Canis lupus familiaris: one gene and its partners. The protein of the gene in region 1 purifies or fractionates together with the protein of each later gene. This does not show direct contact. Links are inferred from orthologs where the notes say so. Each region holds a gene or a part of one and is shown on either strand. Other genes may lie near its edges. The genes, in order: ARHGEF12, VAPA, GIPC1, MYO6 and GNA13.

The links.
Region 2: the proteins of ARHGEF12 (region 1) and VAPA purify together in Homo sapiens (affinity purification with mass spectrometry; 5 studies listed by BioGRID and IntAct, counting the BioPlex papers as one, with this or other methods). This does not show direct contact. The link is inferred for Canis lupus familiaris from reciprocal best matches to the Homo sapiens genes ARHGEF12 and VAPA.
Region 3: the proteins of ARHGEF12 (region 1) and GIPC1 purify together in Homo sapiens (co-immunoprecipitation; 4 studies listed by BioGRID and IntAct, with this or other methods). This does not show direct contact. The link is inferred for Canis lupus familiaris from reciprocal best matches to the Homo sapiens genes ARHGEF12 and GIPC1.
Region 4: the proteins of ARHGEF12 (region 1) and MYO6 purify together in Homo sapiens (affinity purification with mass spectrometry; 4 studies listed by BioGRID and IntAct, counting the BioPlex papers as one, with this or other methods). This does not show direct contact. The link is inferred for Canis lupus familiaris from reciprocal best matches to the Homo sapiens genes ARHGEF12 and MYO6.
Region 5: the proteins of ARHGEF12 (region 1) and GNA13 purify together in Homo sapiens (affinity purification with western blotting; 3 studies listed by BioGRID). This does not show direct contact. The link is inferred for Canis lupus familiaris from reciprocal best matches to the Homo sapiens genes ARHGEF12 and GNA13.

Annotation. Positions count from the first base shown.
Region 1 is NC_049226.1:13,691,383-13,695,345, reverse strand, and holds the start of ARHGEF12 (rho guanine nucleotide exchange factor 12), read left to right. Parts: upstream 1-1,162; 5' UTR 1,163-1,343; coding exon 1,344-1,375; intron 1,376-3,963. UniProt on the Homo sapiens protein: May play a role in the regulation of RhoA GTPase by guanine nucleotide-binding alpha-12 (GNA12) and alpha-13 (GNA13). Acts as guanine nucleotide exchange factor (GEF) for RhoA GTPase and may act as GTPase-activating protein (GAP) for GNA12 and GNA13.
Region 2 is NC_049228.1:75,968,973-75,972,485, forward strand, and holds part of VAPA (vesicle-associated membrane protein-associated protein A), read left to right. Parts: intron 1-2,335; coding exon 2,336-2,509; intron 2,510-3,513. UniProt on the Homo sapiens protein: Endoplasmic reticulum (ER)-anchored protein that mediates the formation of contact sites between the ER and endosomes via interaction with FFAT motif-containing proteins such as STARD3 or WDR44.
Region 3 is NC_049241.1:48,542,860-48,546,943, forward strand, and holds the start of GIPC1 (PDZ domain-containing protein GIPC1), read left to right. Parts: upstream 1-1,272; 5' UTR 1,273-1,366; intron 1,367-1,870; 5' UTR 1,871-1,925; intron 1,926-3,568; exon of another isoform or gene 3,569-3,617; 5' UTR 3,618-3,711; intron 3,712-4,084. UniProt on the Homo sapiens protein: May be involved in G protein-linked signaling.
Region 4 is NC_049233.1:37,584,712-37,588,817, forward strand, and holds the start of MYO6 (unconventional myosin-VI), read left to right. Parts: upstream 1-1,295; 5' UTR 1,296-1,473; exon of another isoform or gene 1,474-1,513; intron 1,514-4,106. UniProt on the Homo sapiens protein: Myosins are actin-based motor molecules with ATPase activity. Unconventional myosins serve in intracellular movements. Myosin 6 is a reverse-direction motor protein that moves towards the minus-end of actin filaments.
Region 5 is NC_049230.1:11,956,281-11,959,793, forward strand, and holds part of GNA13 (guanine nucleotide-binding protein subunit alpha-13), read right to left. Parts: intron 2,761-3,513; coding exon 2,188-2,760; 3' UTR 1-2,187. UniProt on the Homo sapiens protein: Guanine nucleotide-binding proteins (G proteins) are involved as modulators or transducers in various transmembrane signaling systems.

The DNA of each region.
Region 1 (3,963 bases):
CCCAGGTGAGCATCCGAGGCCAAACCCTCTCCCTGCAGGTCCAGGTGCCCGACAGCGTCCTTCGCTTCCAGCCGTCACCGTTCTTTACGAGCTATCAGAAAGTCACGACAAGTACAGCGCATTAAGGAATAAAGGTTTGCAGGGTAAGGGGGCCGGGTAATGCCCGAGGAGCCTCCCGTCCGGGCCCCTGGGGACCGGGGGCCGGGCGAGCGCTCTCCGGCGGCGTCTCCGGGGGCAGCCAGACTCCGGCGCGCAGCTCCCCGCGGGCCCGGGGCCGACGAGCGGCGGGGGGGGGGGGGGGGGTGGGCCTCCGCGCCCGGCCGGCCCCCGCCTCCCTCCGCCCCGCAGAACTACTTTTCCGGCGGAGGCGTCCGCGCGGCCCTGGCGCGCTCCGCAAGGCGCGGGGGAGACGAGGGCGGCGGGCGGCGGGGCGGCCCCGCGCGCCGCGGAGGGATCCCGGGTGAGGCGGCTTCCCGAAGTCAGAGGGGAGGAGGCCAAAAAAAAAAAAAAAAAAAAAAAAAAAAAGAGAGTCGGCGGCGGGGGAGGGGAAGAGCTCGCTCGCGCTGGACGCGGCCGGGGCCGGGAAAGACAGAACCGGAACCGGAACCCGCGCGCGCGCCCGCGGCCGTCGTGCGCCCCCCTCCGCCCCCCCCCGCGGCCTCCTCCGCCCGCCGCGCGCGCTCCCGCGAGAGCTCCGCGACCCCGCGACCCGGCCCCGCGCGCCGAGTGGCCGCCGCCGCCGCCGCCTCAGCCGCCGCCGCCTCCGCCGCCTCAGCCGCCGCCGCCGCTCTCGAGGCCGGACCGGACGGGAACCTCCCGCCCCTCGCGGGAACGGCCGCCTACCGGCGCGTCGGGGAGGAGCCGCCGCCGCCGCCCGCCGCCCGCCGCCCGCCGCCCGCCGCCCGCGCCGACTGCGGAAGAGTCCGGGCCTCCCGGGGATGGGGAGCAGCCCGCGGCGCTGAGACACCGGCTTCCCGTCCCCTCCGGCCGCGGGAGCCCTGCCCCGGAGCCCCAGGCGGCGAGGACGACGGCAGCGGCCCCCGGGCCGGGGGCATGGAGCGGCGCGAGCCCGGCGCAGGGCGGCCCGAGCCGCGGCCGGCGCGGTGGCCACGAGCGGCGGGCAGCCCCAGATAGACGGCCCGCCCGCCGCCGCCCGCCGCCCCGACCTGCTCCCTCTCCCCGACCCCTTCCCGCCGGACGTCCTCGATGACTGCATGGAGTCTTGAGCCGGACTGCGGCGTCGCCTGCGGAGTCGGGCCTGGTCCCAGGGCACGGGGGGTGGGGCGGAGGTGTTCCGTACCATGCAAGTTGGATAGAAGGAGGACCTCTCGCCACGGGCCCCAATGAGCGGCACACAGCCCACTATCACCGACAGGTGGGTACGCGGCGCCCGGCCCGCCCGGCCCGGCGAGCCCACGGCCCCCGACCGCCCCCGACCGCCCCCGACCGCCCTGCCCGGCGCCGCTGACAGGCAGAGCAGGGACGCGCGCCCTGGAGCTCCGCAGTTAGTCTGGGGCTGCTGCCAACTTACCCACTCGATCGAGTTTGGAAATGTAGCTGCTGCTGCTTCTTTTTTTTTTTTTTTTTGGAGAGAAACTTTTCTCCAGATTTGTCCGCGGATGGGGTAGGTGCACGCCACGGTCGCGGCGCTCTCTGGGGCGCGCGTGCACTGGGATCCGGCACTTCTCTTGGAACCCAGGGGAAGGTCATTTGGGGTGAAGGTCAGCGCCCGACCTCGGCCGGGGGTATTGGTGCATCACCTATCGGTCTTCCTCCTGCCCCCCCCCCCCCCCCCCGCCGTGGTCCCCCCAGACGCCGTGTTTAGGTTCTAGGAATTGCCGTCTGTGGACTTCGTCCTGAGACGGCTGCAGGATGATTTTTGAGCTGGCTCTTCTTTGAATATTGAGCTGCGTAGTGTTTATTATCTAATCATTTTCCAGAATGTTGAAATTACTAGTAGATCTCAGGCTCCTGATGGAGCTTAAAAAAAAAAAAAAAACAGGTGGGGGGGGGCGAGGGAGAGTCATGGGGTTTGATTTTAATTGTTGCATTTTTCGTATTTCATCTCCCAGAAGCTTTTGCATTCAAGAGATACAAACCCTAAGCGAATTAGGTAGTTAGAAGCATGGCAGGTGGATGTGCTGAGTTCTGTGAGTCCTTTCTGCTGCTGATCTGTGTTGCCTGGTGGTTGGTGAATTGAGCTCAGGCTATGTGGTTTTAAGTGGAGCTTCTTTACTCTTAGGGGTTATTCTTTGGAATATTGGTTTAAACAGTAAATTCCTTTTACTGTATTTTATTTCTCAATTTCATTATGACCTTGTATCCTGGTTCCAAATTTCAGCCAGTCTTTTTTTTGTTTTTTTTAAGTCCGTATTCAGACTATTACATCATTTAAAAAAAAAAAAAAAAAGATCAAATAACTGAATTAGGGGGGCAAAACAAAGCACTTTGATGAAAAGTGCAACAATAGTGCTCTTGCAGAAAATGTGGAGTTTCCTAATACAGAGTTTCACCCAATGGTCAGACTCATTTGTTGATTTTAAAAGGGCCAAATTCCATTATCATACCATAACAGCTACTCCAGAAACAGAACTTCCTCTTCCTGTTGATGCTTTCCAGTGTCACGTGAATGTTCACCTAAAAGATTCCATTAAATATTTAAACTATATTCGTTGCGTATTTTTTTAAAATTAATTTTAGTTTTCAACTTTTCTGATTGTACCCGTAACAACAAGTAGCAGCAGTGCTTATCTTTAATTTCTTTCGATCATCCCCATCCCTTTTCCTTTCAGGGTGTTTTGCTACTGAGAAATCACGTTGTGTTTTTATTTTCCTGGTTCATTCACTTCTTGGCCTCTGTATGAGCCTTTAGACAAGAAGTCTTATTAGGGACTAATGTAGTATTAGTAGTTTTTACTGTGGTACTAGGGGTGCTTAATTTTGTAGAAACAGAACCAAGGGTCACTAGCTCATTTCACATGAGAACCACTTAATAATAGTGCCCACTTAATAACCTTCCTCTCTGCTTCTCAGAGATTTTTTTCCTTTTTCTATTATCTTGAAATTAAATCTTGGGACTTTTTTTTTTTTTTAATAAGTTAGATGAGATACAGATATACAATAAATATGTAGTCAGTGGATGTCCTTTGCCAGGCCCCGTGCTAAGCACAAAAGATTAAAAGACGAGTATTCTAAGTATAAGATGAATCTGCAAATTGGTTTGGGTATTGATGTCCTTGAATAAGTTCAGGTGTTGGCTGATGTTACATTTTAAAAAAGAAAAACACCTTTAAAAACCACTTAATTTAGAATGCATTGCCAAGACATTGTGGATACCCGTATCTTAGAAATTTGCTACTAGTTTTTTTTTTTTTTAACAAGATTATTCTTAGGTGACTATTACATTTTCTTTAAACACATCTTACTCTGTAGATATCAAGCATCCATTTGCTGGCTAGGAGAGTAGTTGTCCCTGATTTAAATATATGTTGGGGTGAAATCCAGAAGCGCGCCAGTTTAGTGTTATTTTTTTTCCCAGGGTACCTTAACAAAGTTATGGGTACAGAGTAGTTCTTAGCTGCTTCTCTGCTATGTCTACCCCATTCTTGTTTCTCACTGTCTAATTCCAGTGTACTGTAGGTGTATTTTGCTGATTCTAGAGCTATTGGCAAATTAACAGTGCCAGTGTAGCTTTTTAAAGATCCTTTCAAGTTTGAAGTACTGTATGTGGTATGGCTTTGTTTGGTAGAGTGTGCAGACCCACCAGGCCAGCTGTGTGAGTTAGAGTTCTTTCATTGTGGTGCTTCTGACTACAGAGTCTGTCTGTCCTCATTTGAAATCAGACTAGCTGGTTTTGGGCGTTGTTCTGTTTTGCAGTTTGTGGCAGGCGACACATGGCTGAACAAGATAAGAAGGGTTTTATTCTTGTGTTAGGGACGTGCTGGGGCTGGGATGGAATTCAGC
Region 2 (3,513 bases), on another chromosome or scaffold:
AGCTACTCATCAAATGTCTAAAAAGAGTGAGCTGTTTAAGTAATTTTACTTAGACAAAGAGTATTTAATGAAATATTGTGTCACTTAAAATGATGAAAAGATGTACATATAAATAAAGATAAAAGTGTTACAGTGTATGCTGGTTTTATAAAATGTGTATAGGAGAAAATACTGAAAGATAATACATAAATAATAGTTGGGTTGCATTGATGAGATTAGTAGTTTCCTCTCCCTCCCTCTCATAATTATAGATTTTCTGGAATTTCAAGAATTAATTTAAAAATAAAAACCCAGTTGTGAAGAGTTTGATGATTCCTCACTTTAATTTTTTTCTCTTCACTTGTTGGCTTCATGTATCTCTTCTTAATTTTTTAGTCAACTCTCTTGTATATTTTTTTCCCAATTCTTTTTTTTTTTTTTTTATTCATCTGCATATTCATGCAGAGACAGAGAGAGAGAGAGAGGCAGAGACACAAGCAGAGGGAGAAGCAGGCTCCACGCAGAGAGCCTGACATGGGACTCGATCCAGGGTCTCCAGGATCACACCCTGGGCTGCAGGCGGCACTAAACCGCTGTGCCACTGGGGCTGCCCTTTTTCCCAATTCTTAATCAGAACCTGAAGATTCCTTAGTTGCCAAATTGTTGACTGTTGCTTTCATCTTTATAGAGGAAGGCAGTGAGCTGCTTTTTTTTTCTCAATTTGGACTTCTTCTAGGTTAGAATTGGAGCACACTTGAAAAATCATTTTGAAATGAATTTTAATTACTGTTAAGAGGAGGATTAAGAAATATTATTGGTGGAGAGCAATATATATCTGGAATAGATTTTTACTAATAGAGATGGACTTGGTCGGGACAGGGGAAGATAAGGTGAAGAAGAAGAAAGCTAGCAAGAGGGGGAAACTCTTTTTGTATTGTAAAAGAGGATGAAATCGGAAGTAGGTTTCTTAAAAACCCTTCATTCACAGCTGAGAAGCTTCTGAAGAAAAATGGAAAAATCTGCATGTTAACAGTCAAATACATAGTGTACATTAGAACCTTACTATAACATTATTGGTTTTCCATGAGTGTAGGCATATTAACATATGGTTTTACATGAGTTTAGGCATAGTGATCAAATCACATTCCCTTCATAAGAAATAATAGTTTGCCCCTTGAACTAATACAAACTTAATATAAATTTGGGACTTGGGATGGTGTGGTAGATGTGTAATCAATCTATAATTCAATCTTATTATTGAGTATTGTGGAATTTCATAAAGTTGATTTTGGAAATGTTTTTGTTAGAAGTTATATCTGAATAAGGCACTTTTAAAAAACATCTGACATTAGATTTCTAGCAAGTAAAATTTTAGTTAAAAAGATGACTTGTTGCACTAAACTGTAATGGTGTATGTGATAGTATAGATGACATTAGGGTAAAGGATATTGAAGAACTTTAGACCACAGGCCCTGGGACACTTAGACACTGCTCTAGATATTTGTCTATATTGGATGAGTGTTGGTAAGAATCACAGTTTTAGAGCTTATAGTTTTAAACGTGTCTTAAGTACTACTATGATTCCATATTGAATTTCATTAATTAAAGTGTACAGTGTCAGTAATAATTTGAAAGAATTAATTTATGTTTGAGTTTAAGAGCATGGGATTAACTCCCTTCTCTTTTTTTTAAACCATGATATAGTTTGTGTTCATTATCTTCCCTTCTGTGTTTATATCCTTGTTATTTTTTCCCACTAATAGAAGTTAGGTTTTCTTTAAGTGTTTTTCTTAGGTGGTCTCCTTATTTCATTGGAATTATTATGATAATATCACCCCTACCCTTCAGAATCTCATTTGAATTGCAGAATCAGAGTACCGAAAATGACCTTCATATTTGGATTTTGGTTGGCGTCAGTCATTCAGCATACTTACATTGAATAACTACTCTTGGCCAAAGTGCTGGGTTTAGGGGTAAATACAAAAAGAAATGACTCTTGCTCTCCCAGTCTTTGAAGTATTATAGGAAAGAACATCAAAAATACGTTATTATGATATATGATAAGTGCTGTGGTGGAGGTAAGTGTGAAGGGTTTTGGGAGTAGAGGAGGGAGTGGGCTGCTTATTTTGACTTCTGTTACTGCTGACCTTTATTCATTTAGTCCTAAAATTGTTCATGAATGACTGTAACCTTTGGTATTTTAAAAAATTCTGATTAACTAAATCACAACCTTAAAAATTTCCATTTAAGTGATTTTTTTTTTTTTGGAAAAGGTATGGAGTTTCAATTTGCATTTGTTAAAAATCTGTAAGGAGTTTTGGTCAGTTAAAAAAGTGTCACTATCTTTATAATACAGAATGATCTGGAACCTAGCAAAACTGTTCCACTGAATGCCTCTAAGCAAGATGGACCCATGCCAAAACCACATAGTGTTTCACTCAACGATACTGAAACAAGGAAACTCATGGAAGAATGTAAAAGACTTCAGGGAGAAATGATGAAACTATCAGAAGAAAACCGACATCTGAGAGTAAGTTGTTTTTGAAAATAAGTTAATTTAAATGAAAGCTTAGGATATGTGAATATTATTAGGCCACGTTATCCATCAGTTTTTAAATTTATCCTTGGTCAGTTCTTTCTCTTTTTCCCCAATTTGATTATGTCTTAGCCTTTGCTCCCCACTCTTGCCTCTTTTCATAGTTTTACCAAGGCTTCTCATTGCTTGCAAGTTCCTTTCCTAGTAGGTGCCCTAGTTATTTGTGATCTGGCCTGTGGCATTGCTGGCTTCCTCTCTTGTTTGTAACATCCTTCACATTTGATGCCCTGGTCATATGAATTGCTTGAAATGGTGCTGTCCCGTATATAGTAGGGATGTATGTGGCTGTTGAGCACTTGCAATGTGGTTAGTTTGAAGTGAGATGTGTTGTGAGTATGATAACTCATTGATTTCTTAGACTTAGTACCAAAAAAAAAATCTTTTTTTTTGTATTGTTACATACTGAAGTAATATTTTGGTTATATTGGATTGAGTTTTATTATTAAAATTAATTTTATTATTTTCTTTTTACCGTCTTAATGTGCTATTAGAAATTTAAAAGTATGTAGGTGGCTCACATTTGAAGCTTATATTTATATTGGACAGTGTTGGACTACAGTACCCTGAAGATGCCTCTCTGTCAGTGATCTCTTTTTTACTTTAGCTTGAATTCCTTCTTCTGATTGGATCACCCTGAAATCACATTCCTACCCTTAAAAGCACATTCACGCATGCATGGTTCTCTTTTGGTACTTGGTTCTTGTCATCTTTTCAGTATAACTTTTTCTAGGAATCTCTCCTCCCAGAAGCAAAGAAGTATGGTTTTGGAATGCTATCTCCTTTGTTTCCATGAAACCTTCGTCATCTCACTGTACCTGTTTGTTAAAGGTTTTTCTCCCTCCAGTGGGCGCTAGCTCTTTGGGAGCAAGGACCTGTGTTCATTCATCTTTGCATTCATAGCACATGCATATAGTAGTCATTCATATATTCGAATGAAT
Region 3 (4,084 bases), on another chromosome or scaffold:
ACACACAGCAAGCTCCTGGTCCAGCCCCAACTGCCCCAGAGGCTGGCTTTGAAGTAGAGCAAGGATAGCTCATCTGTCCTGGGAACTGAGCATCCTGGTCTGTACAAGGTGCATCTGTGTCTTTGTTTCTTGGACCTACCCTTGCCTGAGACATCCCAGTCTCGGGGCCTCACCAAACCTGGTGATGGCGAGGTCACCTGGTCCTCTCATTCACACAAGTGCTCTGAGAGGCTGCTCACTGCCAGTCTCAGGACCCCAGCAGGGGTGAGGGGGCACTTAGATGGAGGAGACAGCCTCATGAAAGGGCAGAGGCTCGGAATGGTTGGGGACCCTTTACAACCTAGCACATATTATGTGTTCAGTAAATATTCACTGATTTAACCAACAAGCGAGCAGTCCATCTCGATCTTGTCTTCCTTCCATGCACCCTTTCACACAGTTTTGCTAGCTCCTAGGATATTGCACTCTCCCAAAATGTGTTGTATCTCTCAGTCCAGCTTTCAGGCCTTCTGCACGAGCTGTTACCTCCACCAGAAGCACATTCAGCTTATTCGCTTTAGTAGCTGCAGACGTAGGACAGAGCCTGGCACGGAGCAGGGGCACATGAAATATTTGACGAGTGAGGGAATGAATGAATGAATGAATAAATGCCCTTGTCCATTGTACACCCCAGGAAGCAGGGACACTCGGGACCCTCCCTATTCATCTCGCTCCTCCGCCCGCTCGCCCGCCCGGAATGAATGCATCCTTTTTATCCGCTCACAGGATGGCCAGGCTGGGGCAGGCGCAGACAGGGAGGAGGACTGGGATCGGGGGCTGCCCTCGGCCCCTTCCTAGGTCTCCTAAAGGGTCAGCTCTTCCGGACGTGGCGAGTTAGCCTCTGCCCGAAACTCGGCCCGCGTCACCTGACTCCCACGACCGGCCCTCCCGCTCCTTACCACCCTGGACACCCCAGACGGACACTCCGCCGGCAGCACGTGGGCCAGGGACCCCAGCTCCCCATTGGTTGCTCGCCTCCTTCCTTCCCCGCGATTGGCAGGGGCCCAGCCTCAGGTCCCCCCTCCGCGCCCTGCGGTGGTACAGCCTGCCGCGGCTTTCGGCAGGGTGGGCAGGTCCACTGCGCCGCGGCGCGGGGGGGCCGGGAGGAGCCGGGCGAGGCGGAGGGATCCCTCTGGAATGCTTCCGTCGGGCCCACCCGGCGCTGGGCGGCGCGGCGCGGATTGGCCACGGGCGTCGGGCGGCCGCTCCTGATTGGCGCGCTGCGGGCGCTGGCCCCGCCCCCCGGCCGCGGCTGCGGGAGAGGCCCGGGCCGGAGTTTGCGGAGGGCCGAGCCCGGAGCGCGCGGGTGGCGGCGGCGGCGGCGCAGGTGAGTGTCCCTGCGGGCGGGGCACGGCCGCTCCGGGGACCCCAGCGCGGGCCCGCGGGGTCGCGGACCCATGGGGATCCGGCGGATCGAGCGAGTAGCGGGGGGACGGCCCCGGGGTCGCTGCTGGAGGTCTAGGTTGGGCCCCAGGATGCCTGAGGCCCCTTCCCCCGGAGGCGCCCATCTTCCCGCCGGGGGCCGGGGTCAAACACCTCCCGCCTCTGAGATGGGGTCGGCAGCCCACCCTGCCCCCTGCACTGCCCTGGACAGCCCCGTCCCGGCGGGCTCGGCATTTCTGAGTCCTGCCCGGGCACCTCCCTCGTCCCACCTTGGCCTCGACGCGGCCCTCCAGGGCCGAGAGAGGGACCTGGAGAGGACTGAGGTCCCGGTAATAATCATGAAAAAATCACCCCCGGCTAGCACTGACTGGACGCTTCCGTGTCAGGTATTTACCATGCACATCGTTGCGTCCAAACACCTCATGGAAGGTGCTGTTACTTCTTTTAGAGGTGAAGCAACAGACCCGGAGAAGTGGAGTGACTTGCCCAAGGTGACACAGCTAGTAAGTGGCAGGGCTGGAACTCGAACCCGTGCTTCGGAGTCCAGAACTGGAGTCTCAGCCGCTAGACTAGATGGCTCCATGGATCAGTGGCCCAGTGGCTCCGTGGCTCAGGTGTTCCCGACCAGCTCCTCTGCCCGCTGCTGCCTGCATCCCCCAACCATGCATGTATCTGGGCCACACCTGCTGGTCTTTGCTTCCCCCCAAGAGGTCCCCGGACACCAACCCTGTCTTGCCTCCCCGGACCTGGGAAGGCTTGCCTGAATACCTAGGTCCTAAGAAGAGAGTGACATCTGCAGGGGACATAGGAGGCCTGGATGCTGGGGTCCTTTGCCCACTGGGCCCCTCTGGAAAGCCTGCGCTGAGGCCCAGGCAGTAGGCGTTCTCCCCGGAAACACCCGGGAGCCGGTTTTTCAAGACTGAATCAGAGGCCTCCCGCCTCCCTGCCTCCCGCCTCCCGCCCTCCCCTCCAAAGCAGTATCCTACTAGAAAGGGGAGGTTGGGTGTGGTGTCTCTCCCCCCACCCAAGCTTTTGTCAACTCCCAGGAACTCCCCTCCCCACTTCCTGCTGCCCTCACTGTGATTCTGCTTGGTGGTGGGGTTGCTAAGTTTCAGGCCCCTCCCAGGGAAGCGAGGGTGGGGATGCTAGGATTCCAGCCAATGCGCTTGGACCCCCGGCTGACACTTTTTCCACCATCCCTATGTTCAGGTTTGAGGGGACACTGGGAATGTGGGGAGGAAGTGTCAGTTAGCAACCCCACAGCAGGCATGTTCTGAGGATAGGAGGGCTCAGAGAGGAGTCTGAATGAGGACACGAGGCACGCACACCCGTCCATTCTGCAAACATTTACTGAGCACCTCCCATGGGCCAAGCACTGTCCTTGGCACAGAGGGCATAATAGCAAACAAGACAAAAATCCCTGCTCTGTGGGAGCCGCCGTCCTAGTGGGGAAAAGGGCAGCAAGCAAGTTAACAAGTAGATAAAGACAGTACCCGCGGATGGTAGTAAGTGCGTGTGCTATGAATAAAATATGAGGGGGGTGGCCGGGTGGAATCTGTGGTAAAGGGGGTGGCTTTTGGAGGAGGCGACTTTGGAGACAAGATCTAAATGACAGAAAGAAGGTGGCCCAGCAAAGGTCAGGCAGGGGGCCCAGCCTGGGCAAAAACTCTGAGGCTGGATGGAGCTTGGGATAGTGTGTGGGGGCACGAGCTGCCGCCAGAGTGGCAGTTCTGCAGGGGCCTGTGGCTCATATTAAGGAGTTTGGGGCTTTTCCTCTGTAAAGGTAGGAGACCGCTGTAAGATTGGAAGCCGGGGAGTGACGTGATCTGGTTTACATTTTAAAATAGAGACACGAAGTGAAATAGCAGCCTGGGACTGAAAGACAAGAGTTCTGCCGGGATAATGTGTAATTAAGTTCATGGGCCTTGAGCTGTCTGGACCACAGGGGCAGTTCCAGCAGGCTGGGGCAAGCCAGGGAGGCTGCCTGGAGGAGGCCACCTAGACTAGGCCTCCGCGGACAGCAGACAGCAGAAGCACAGACTGGGATGTTCCTGGGCGGTGGGGGGGGGGGGGGTGGGGTGGGCAGGGGAGGAGGCCATAATAATAATGACAATACTAGTAACAGTTTTCTTAAATTGAATGTCAGGCAAAATGCTAATCGGGTTGTCTGCACAATCTCTTTGGATTCCCATAAGCACCTGGAGAGAGACAGGAATTCCACCCATTTTTCGACTGAGAAAACTGAGGCTCCATCACATGAAGTGACACTTGCCCACGACCACGCAGCTGGTAAGTGGCAAGGATGGGATTTGAACCCAGGCCACCCTCCTTGGAGCTCAGAGAAGTTAAGATACTTGCCCAAGGTCACACAGCTAATAAGTGGAGAAACCAGGTTCCAGACTCATGTTCTCAGCATCCCGCTAAGATGTATGAGGGGCAGCAGGAGGAGAACAGGGGAGGTGATGATGAGGGGTTTGGTTTGGTTTGGTTTGAAGCATCACTGAGTGTGTTGTAATAATCTGAGGGGGCAGTATGGGTTTATTCATTCAGAATTTGTTTTTTATCAGATATTAGGTGAATGCTTAGTGTGATGTGTGCTATGGTTAGATGAAGTAATCAATAAAAGACTAGTATCCCAAATATGTAAACAATTCCCAAAAAT
Region 4 (4,106 bases), on another chromosome or scaffold:
GACGTATGTTTTCATCATATAATTCAATTTTGCATAGCCACTTCATATTTAATTTTCAAAGAGGATTTACAGGTATGTCACTTATAAAAACAGTAAAAGAGAAGATCGGGTTCTAGTCAGTAAATGGGGATTCGGGGGCCGGAGGAATACAAAATTTCCATCTCAGACCCTCTGCCACCCAAAGCAGAGAGCAAGACTGCTCCTGTCGCGGCGCAGCCCAGCTCAGCGCAGCCCAGCTCAGCCCAGCGTAGGCCAGCGCCTCCCAGCCCAGCTCAGCCCACCCCAGCGCAGCCCAGCGTAGCCCAGCCCAGCGCAGCCCAGAGCAGCCCAGCTCAGCGGAGCGCAGCCCAGCATAGCCCAGCCCAGCGCCTCCCAGCTCAGCGCAGCCCAGCTCAGCCCACACCAGCGCAGCCCAGCGTAGCCCAGCCCAGCGCAGCCCAGAGCAGCCCAGCTCAGCGGAGCGCAGCCCAGCATAGCCCAGCCCAGCGCCTCCCAGCTCAGCGCAGCCCAGCTCAGCCCACACCAGCGCAGCCCAGCTCAGCCCACCCCAGCCCAGCGTAGCCCAGCCCAGCGCAGCCCAGCGCAGCTCAGTGCCCAGCACAGCCCAGCACAGCCCAGCGCCCAGCACACACCAGCGCATCCCAGTACAGCCCAGCGCCTCGCAGCCCAGCTCAGCCCAGCACAGCCCAGCGCAGCCCAGCGCCCAGCACACCCCAGCGCATCCCAGTGCAGCCCACCCCAGCCCAGCGTAGCTCAGCCCAGCGTAGCTCAGCCCAGCCCAGCCCAGCGCAGCCCAAGCCGACCCGGACCGGAGCCTAGTTAGCAGCGGTTCTTCCCTCCGCAACAACGCCCTCGAGTAAAGCGCGTGGTCCTGGCCGCGTCTGAACACCTTTCTCCCTCCGTGAACTGGTTCTTGCTGTTGCCGGACTCCACGGTCTCCGCACCCGGGCTGGAGACAACCGCGGCGAGGAAGGCCGTGCCGCAGGGGGAGGAACGAGGCTGCCGGCCGGGCCCGCCGCGGCCCCTTCCCGCGCTCCAGCGCGCCCACCTCCGCCCGGGAGGCTGCGCGCCGCGGGGCGGGGGCGGGGGCGGGGGCGAGCGGCGCGGCGGGGCGGGGCGGGGCGGGGCGGGGCGGGGGGCTGCGGGCGCCCAGCGCCCCCTCGGGGAGCGCGCGCCTGCGCCCCCCGTGCCCGGCCGCCCCGGCCCGCCCCGCCCCGGCCCGCCCCGCCCCGGCCCGCGGCGCCCCCGCCCCCTTGGGCGCTCCGTAGCCGTGACGTGCGCGCGCCGGGGCCGGGGACTCGGCGGGGCGCCGGCCGGCGGGCGGAGACGGCCCCGGGATCTGTCCGAGCAGGAAGCTCGCAGGACCGCGGTCGCCGCCGCCGCCGCCGCCGCGTCTCCGAGCCTGTCCACGCAGTCGCCCTTCGCGCTCGACTTGGTTACCTTTCACCCCGCCCTCCACCTCGCCGGCCACAGGTAGCCTCGCCTCCGCGCACCTGCGCTCGCGGCCACCCCGGTGAGTGGCGCGGGGCCGCTCCTCGGGGCGTCGGCGTCGGCGTCGGCGTCCGGGCCTCGCGTCCCCGGGCCGCGCTGCTTCGGGCCTCCGCCGCCGGGGCTGACGGCCGGGTCTCCGCCCGGGATGCGCGCGGTGAGGCAGGTGCCGGCTGGGCCCGGCCGGCGGCTCACGGCGGTGCGGGGCTGGTTCTGGTTTTCACGGGTCTGTCGTCAGCAGGCTACCTGTGGGTCCCTTCCCTGCCCCCGGGTAGCAGAGCACTCCGGTGCCCCACCCGGACGTGGACGCCCCGTGGTAGTTCTTTCTCTTGAGTAAACAAGCTTGAAATCCAGCGCAGGAACAGTGCCGCCTGCTCGGAGATACCTTCGTATCAGGTGCCGGCCACTGTCGAATTGATAGTCTAGTCATGTAGAAGACCGGGTGGGACCGTCTGAACGGGATAATTTTAGTCCTTAGGTGGTCCAGTACTTTGAGTATGTTAATGGACATTTGTGCTACCGAACAAGAGCTTTTTATATTTGTTAATTTCCAAAAACTCCTTAAAACCATTCAGATGCTCCAACCCCGGGATGTTTTTTTTTAAGATTTTACTTATTTATTCATGAGAGAGAGAGACAGAGAGAGAGAGAGAGAGGCAGAGGGAGAAGCAGGCTCCACGCCGGGAGCCCGATGCGGGACTCGATCCCGGGACTCGATCCGGGCCGAAGGCAGGCGCTAAACCGCTGAGCCACCCAGGGATCCCCAACCCCGGGATTTTAAGTAGGAAGTAATTTGGTAGGGTTATTACTGGCACATCCGTGTCGGAAATACTATTTCTGTAGTGTTTAAGGAGACAGGTTACGTTTTATGGGGCATAAAGTTGTAGTGGAGGAATGTATGCATCCTAATCTACAGATACTAGTGAGCAGCTAGGAGCACTGCCGCAACTTCACAGATTGCTGTACGTGCTAAATAAAAGTTTCATTTGCTGTTATGCTCTGGTGGTGTAGATGCAAAGTATCTGAGTATCGTCAGGGTGTGAAAGTTTTAAAAATTCTTAAGGTTTAGTTGAAACTCTTCACACCATGAAATGTGAATCTTGAACTTGGGCTGGAATGGTCATGGTGCAAAGGTTGGCAGGAAAACAGCATATCTGTACAAATTAACTAAACTTCATAGATACCTTGGGTTGTGGTTTTATATTTGGAAATTGCTTCGTGAAAAAATTACCTTGGTATTTTTTATCATTAATTTTAGAAACATTACACATTGGGCTATAGCCAGAGCTTGAAACAATGCAGCCATTCAAAGTAACTCATTGACTTTTAAATATACAGCTCATGTTGAGTATTTTAAATTGCGCAGGAATTATACACACAGTGGTAAACAAGTCATTTTAGTCTTAGGCAGATTTGCCTATTGCGTTTGTGTGTTCTATGTGACATTGTTCTCCCAGTTTGAGTTACCTTTTCGTTTTCAAAAGGTAATTTTAAAAAGAAGTAAAAGAACTTTAGAAAGAGATTACAGGATTAAAAACTCTAAATACATATTATGTAAAACTGTAATACACGTATTCTTCATTAGTCCAGAAGCATGAACAAGAAAAGTGTAATGCATTATTGTAATATTTAATGTAAATTAATATGATGTATTAAGAACAGATCATAAGTCATAACCCATGGCGCTTATCTGAAGTGGATTTTTTCCCTCTGTTTATGTTTATGTGATCAAGTTTTAAAATAACAGTGGCCAGGAAATCTGAGAGAGGCTGAAGGCTCTTTTCTCATCCTGTTGTGACTTTGCCTGGAGACTGTGGTGTATCATGTAGCCCATTGTTTAGATAACTGGGCTGTCTCTGGGTTCTAAAGTACAGCTCTTTTAAGAAAGTTTTAAATTTTTTTGCTTTGTGAGGTTTGGATAAATCTAAGCACCCAAAACATTTTTTAGAAAATTAACCAGTTTTCACTGTTGATAATTGAAGCTTCATTTTGATATTTAAAAATGTCAGTTTTAAAAAGATTTCTGACCTCTGTGAAATTTTCATGTTTGTATATGAAAACATTTTCAGTAAAAGACTAAAAATGGTATTACTGCTTTGCTAACTCTCATACAGTTTGTGATCCCTTTAATGATGTACTTCATAATAATTCTGAACTGGCCCTCATTTTTTAAAATTAATGAATTAATTAAAAAAAGATTTTTATTTATTTATTTGAGAGAAAATGAGAGAGCAAGCACACAAGGGGCAGAGAGAGACGGAGAAGCAGATTCCCAGATGCGGGGGCTCTATCCCAGAAACTTGGGATCATGACCTGAGCCAAAGGCAGACACTTACCCAACTGAGCCATCCGGGTGCCCCTGAACTGGCCCTTTGGTAGTATAAGATCATCACCCACCCACTGGATGGAATTGGTATAATTCCTATACCATATAGGAATCTGGTATAATCAGAACACTGAGAGATTTAATCTACAAAATAATTTTCAAGGTTGGTGGTCTTGTCCTTTTACACATGAGGAAATTTAAGCTTAGAGAATTAAATATTTGCTCAAGGTCTTACAGCTCCAGAGGAACAAAGTCTGGATTCACACCTAAGTCTTCTGACCACGAAACCCTT
Region 5 (3,513 bases), on another chromosome or scaffold:
ATCAGTTAAGAAAGTTGCAAATACCCAAAATCATACCATATCTATTTGGTGTTGTAACATTTCTTGGTGGTAGTCTTGGTGATTGCTGCTTTGTCAGGCAAGATTTATGGTTCATATCACAGATCTTAAATATAATTTAAATAAGACCAAGTTTGCTCTTTGTACAGGGAACTTACTTTAGCCTTCACTGAAGTTCAATGGTTTGGGCCATTCAACTAAACTATTTGCGAAATTTACACAAAGACTCTCCAGCAAAAAGTCCCAATGTTACTGTGCGCATATTCAGACATTCACTAGCACTGAAGTTATTCTAATTCTGTGAATTTAAACACTATATTCTTTTTGGCAAGAAGCACTGGATGTAGAACTATTCAAACATGCACGAACTGTATACTATGAAGACTTGAATTATGATGCAGGGCTACGTGTCTGTAGCTCGTGTATGACCAAGGCATGAAAACACTGAAAGTTACTATGGATAAAATGATGGTGGAATTTCAAATGCAAGAAAAGTCAAGAACAGTTACGAACAATCCCTGGTTAGCTCACTTTAAAGTCCTACTGTCACACTAGACTGCAGACCCACCAAGAGCCACCATCTTGGAAAGGCTGCATGATCCATAATGTTGACCAATCTTTCAAGGACTTTCTAGCCAACAGAATACCTGAGAACACAGCTCTACAGTAAAGTGACAGGTATCACAGTCTTAATCACAATTTTCAGGAAAAGGAGAAAAGCTGTCAGATTTTCCAAACTGTCACCAGCCTTGGGCATTTGCCTCTCTAGCCCTGGTCTAACACCACACACAACCTACAAGGCAGTATTTTCAGTACTGCAAACCAGTCCCCTCTGATGAGTTCACCATGACCACATCTGAGATCACAAAGCTGCTGCAAGGGTATACTTTCATTTCATACGTGGTGAGGTCAAATGCAATCATATTTCGGTGTGACCTAAAAAAATTACTGCTTATTCTTAGAAGTATCCCCAAAACATTCAAAATGTACCTCAATAAAGCTAGAATTTCATAAGCAATAATGATATGAACATGTAGGTGTATGTTTTAGAGACACACCAAGAATGAACACAAATCTCAAACAATGCCTTCTTGAGTCATCTGACAGGAAAACATTGACCTTGGCAAGCTCCAAATAAAAACTCCCATATATGCCACAGTTGGAGTTGATGGGAATAAACAGGAGAGCAAAAGAAAGATGTTCTGTGATGGTACAACAGTGATTCTCTGCAGTGAGGACCCGAATCTTCCAAGACAGGACATACAAGTCTGAGCATAAAGCACGTAACATCCTGGAAACAGTATGTTTATTTAGAAAGCTCTGTTATCAAGTTACTTGCAATTTTTATAGCTGCTGCTATGGCCAGAATGTTTCACATATGGCACATTTATTATATGATATTTAAATATGAAAAGGGCACACTATATTTCACTCATTACTTTGCATCAAAACACTCTGTACGGCATTGGCTCCCTCTTGCTCCCCTCCCTCAGCCCCGTACCATTTGTGAACTTCCATTAGCATCAGACCAGGAATCCTTATGTAAACTTTAAAACACTAAGAACATTACCTTCAGAAACCACAGAAATTTTAAAACTAAACAACTGTCGCTATATAAGCAATTAAAAAAAACACGAAGGCTAAATCTGTGTAAAGCTACAGAATGCCAGTCCTTAGATCAAACTTTTTTTCCAATAGCCCTTTCAAAACAGGTCACCGTAAAGCGAGGCACAAGTGTCGCTGCCGTGCACAGGACAGAAAAAAGGGACCTTGCTTGTGTCAGAACCGAATATTCTTAACCTCATACCAAGAAAGATTCGAAGACACCTTCCATACTTGGCACTACAGAATTCAGTTTGAGAAGTGGAAAAAGCTAAAGCCTGAACTCTATCTAGTCAGAGGCTTGGCAGGAAACTAGAACCCCCTCAAAGGGAAGCCACAGTGAAACAGATCAAAGACTGAACATCGACAGGTATCAGCGATTGTTACTCAGCAGCTTTCAGCCAGCCACAAACCAAAGTCTGCAGGAGGAGGACTAAGATTTCCAAGAAGCTAAACTTAGAATCAAGATTTTTCTCATTCCTGTTGTAAACTGCTATTTCCAAAAACAAAACAAACAGAACACAATCAAGAGGACAAAAGGGATTAAAATGGCCAGTCTTCTGTCCATCACTGTAGCATGAGCTGCTTGAGGTTGTCGTGAAGAATGGTGTCCTTCACGTCACGGAACACGAGGCGGATATTCTCTGTGTTGATGGCAGTGGTGAAGTGGTGGTACAAGGGCTTCTGCTGCTGGTCCCGGCGTTTGTTCCGGAAACATTCCACCAGGAATTTTTGGACGTCTCTTAAGCAGTGGGGATCCCCTTCAAATTCTAAGAAATAGTCTTTGATGCTCACAATTTGCACTTTCTCCTCAAGCAAATCTGTCTTGTTTAAGAAGAGAATTATGGAGACATTGCTGAAAACCCGGTTATTGACGATTGTTTCAAAAATGTTCAGAGATTCTGTAAGGCGATTGGTCAGTCGGTCTTCCATAAGCACCTGGTCAAATTCACTTGAGGAAACAAGGAAAAGTATTGATGTCACGCTGTCGAAGCATTCAAACCATCGTTTTCTCTCTGATCTTTGACCACCCACATCAACCATTTTGAAAGGAACATTTTTAATTTCAAAGTCATACTCATGAATGCCTTTGGTGGGTCTTCTGGCAAGCAGAATATCTTGTTGCGATGGAATGTAATCCTGGAAAAGAAAAAAACTGCTTTACACTCAGTAACCCAGAAGTAATTAACGTTTCCGATGAACTACTAACTGGTTGAATGACTGGATATGCAAATAGCTTATCTTTAATTTTTTAAAAAATATTTTAAAAATTTATTCATGAGAAAGAGAGAGCACACACACATGTGTGGGCATGAGCAAAGGGAGGGGCCGAGGGACAAGCAGACTCCCTGCTGAGCGGAGGGCCAGGGATGCGGGGCCTGACCCCAGGACCCTGAGATCAGAGATCATGACCTGAGCAGAAGTCAGATGCTAAGCTGACTGAGACACCCAGGCGCCACACCAACTTATCTTTTTAATAACTTCTGGCTGCATTAAAGCATCAGTACACTATTATTCTCATTACAAAATGCAAAGATACATTAAAATGTTGGGGTACGAAGACTCGTTCAAAATTCTATGTTTTCCACTCCTGCAGTATCTTCAGACTGAAGTCTTAACTCTCGGGTGTCCCATTGTCCTGCCTACTGTCGTGTCTCTACCCCTAATATTACTCCTCACTGACCCACCCTCTGCTCCGGCCAGAGTGACCCAGGGCTTCCTACTCATTCCTCCAACCTGCTTCTTATCTCTCTGTGAAAAGCAAGGAGGGCTGAAGCGCCAATTCGTGAAGGCCACCTCCCGGCGCACAGTTCTGGCTACCTCTCTCTAGCTCTTTCTAAACACCCCTTTCCTGTGCCCTACCTCCACGACTAAAAACTCCCACAATGGTCA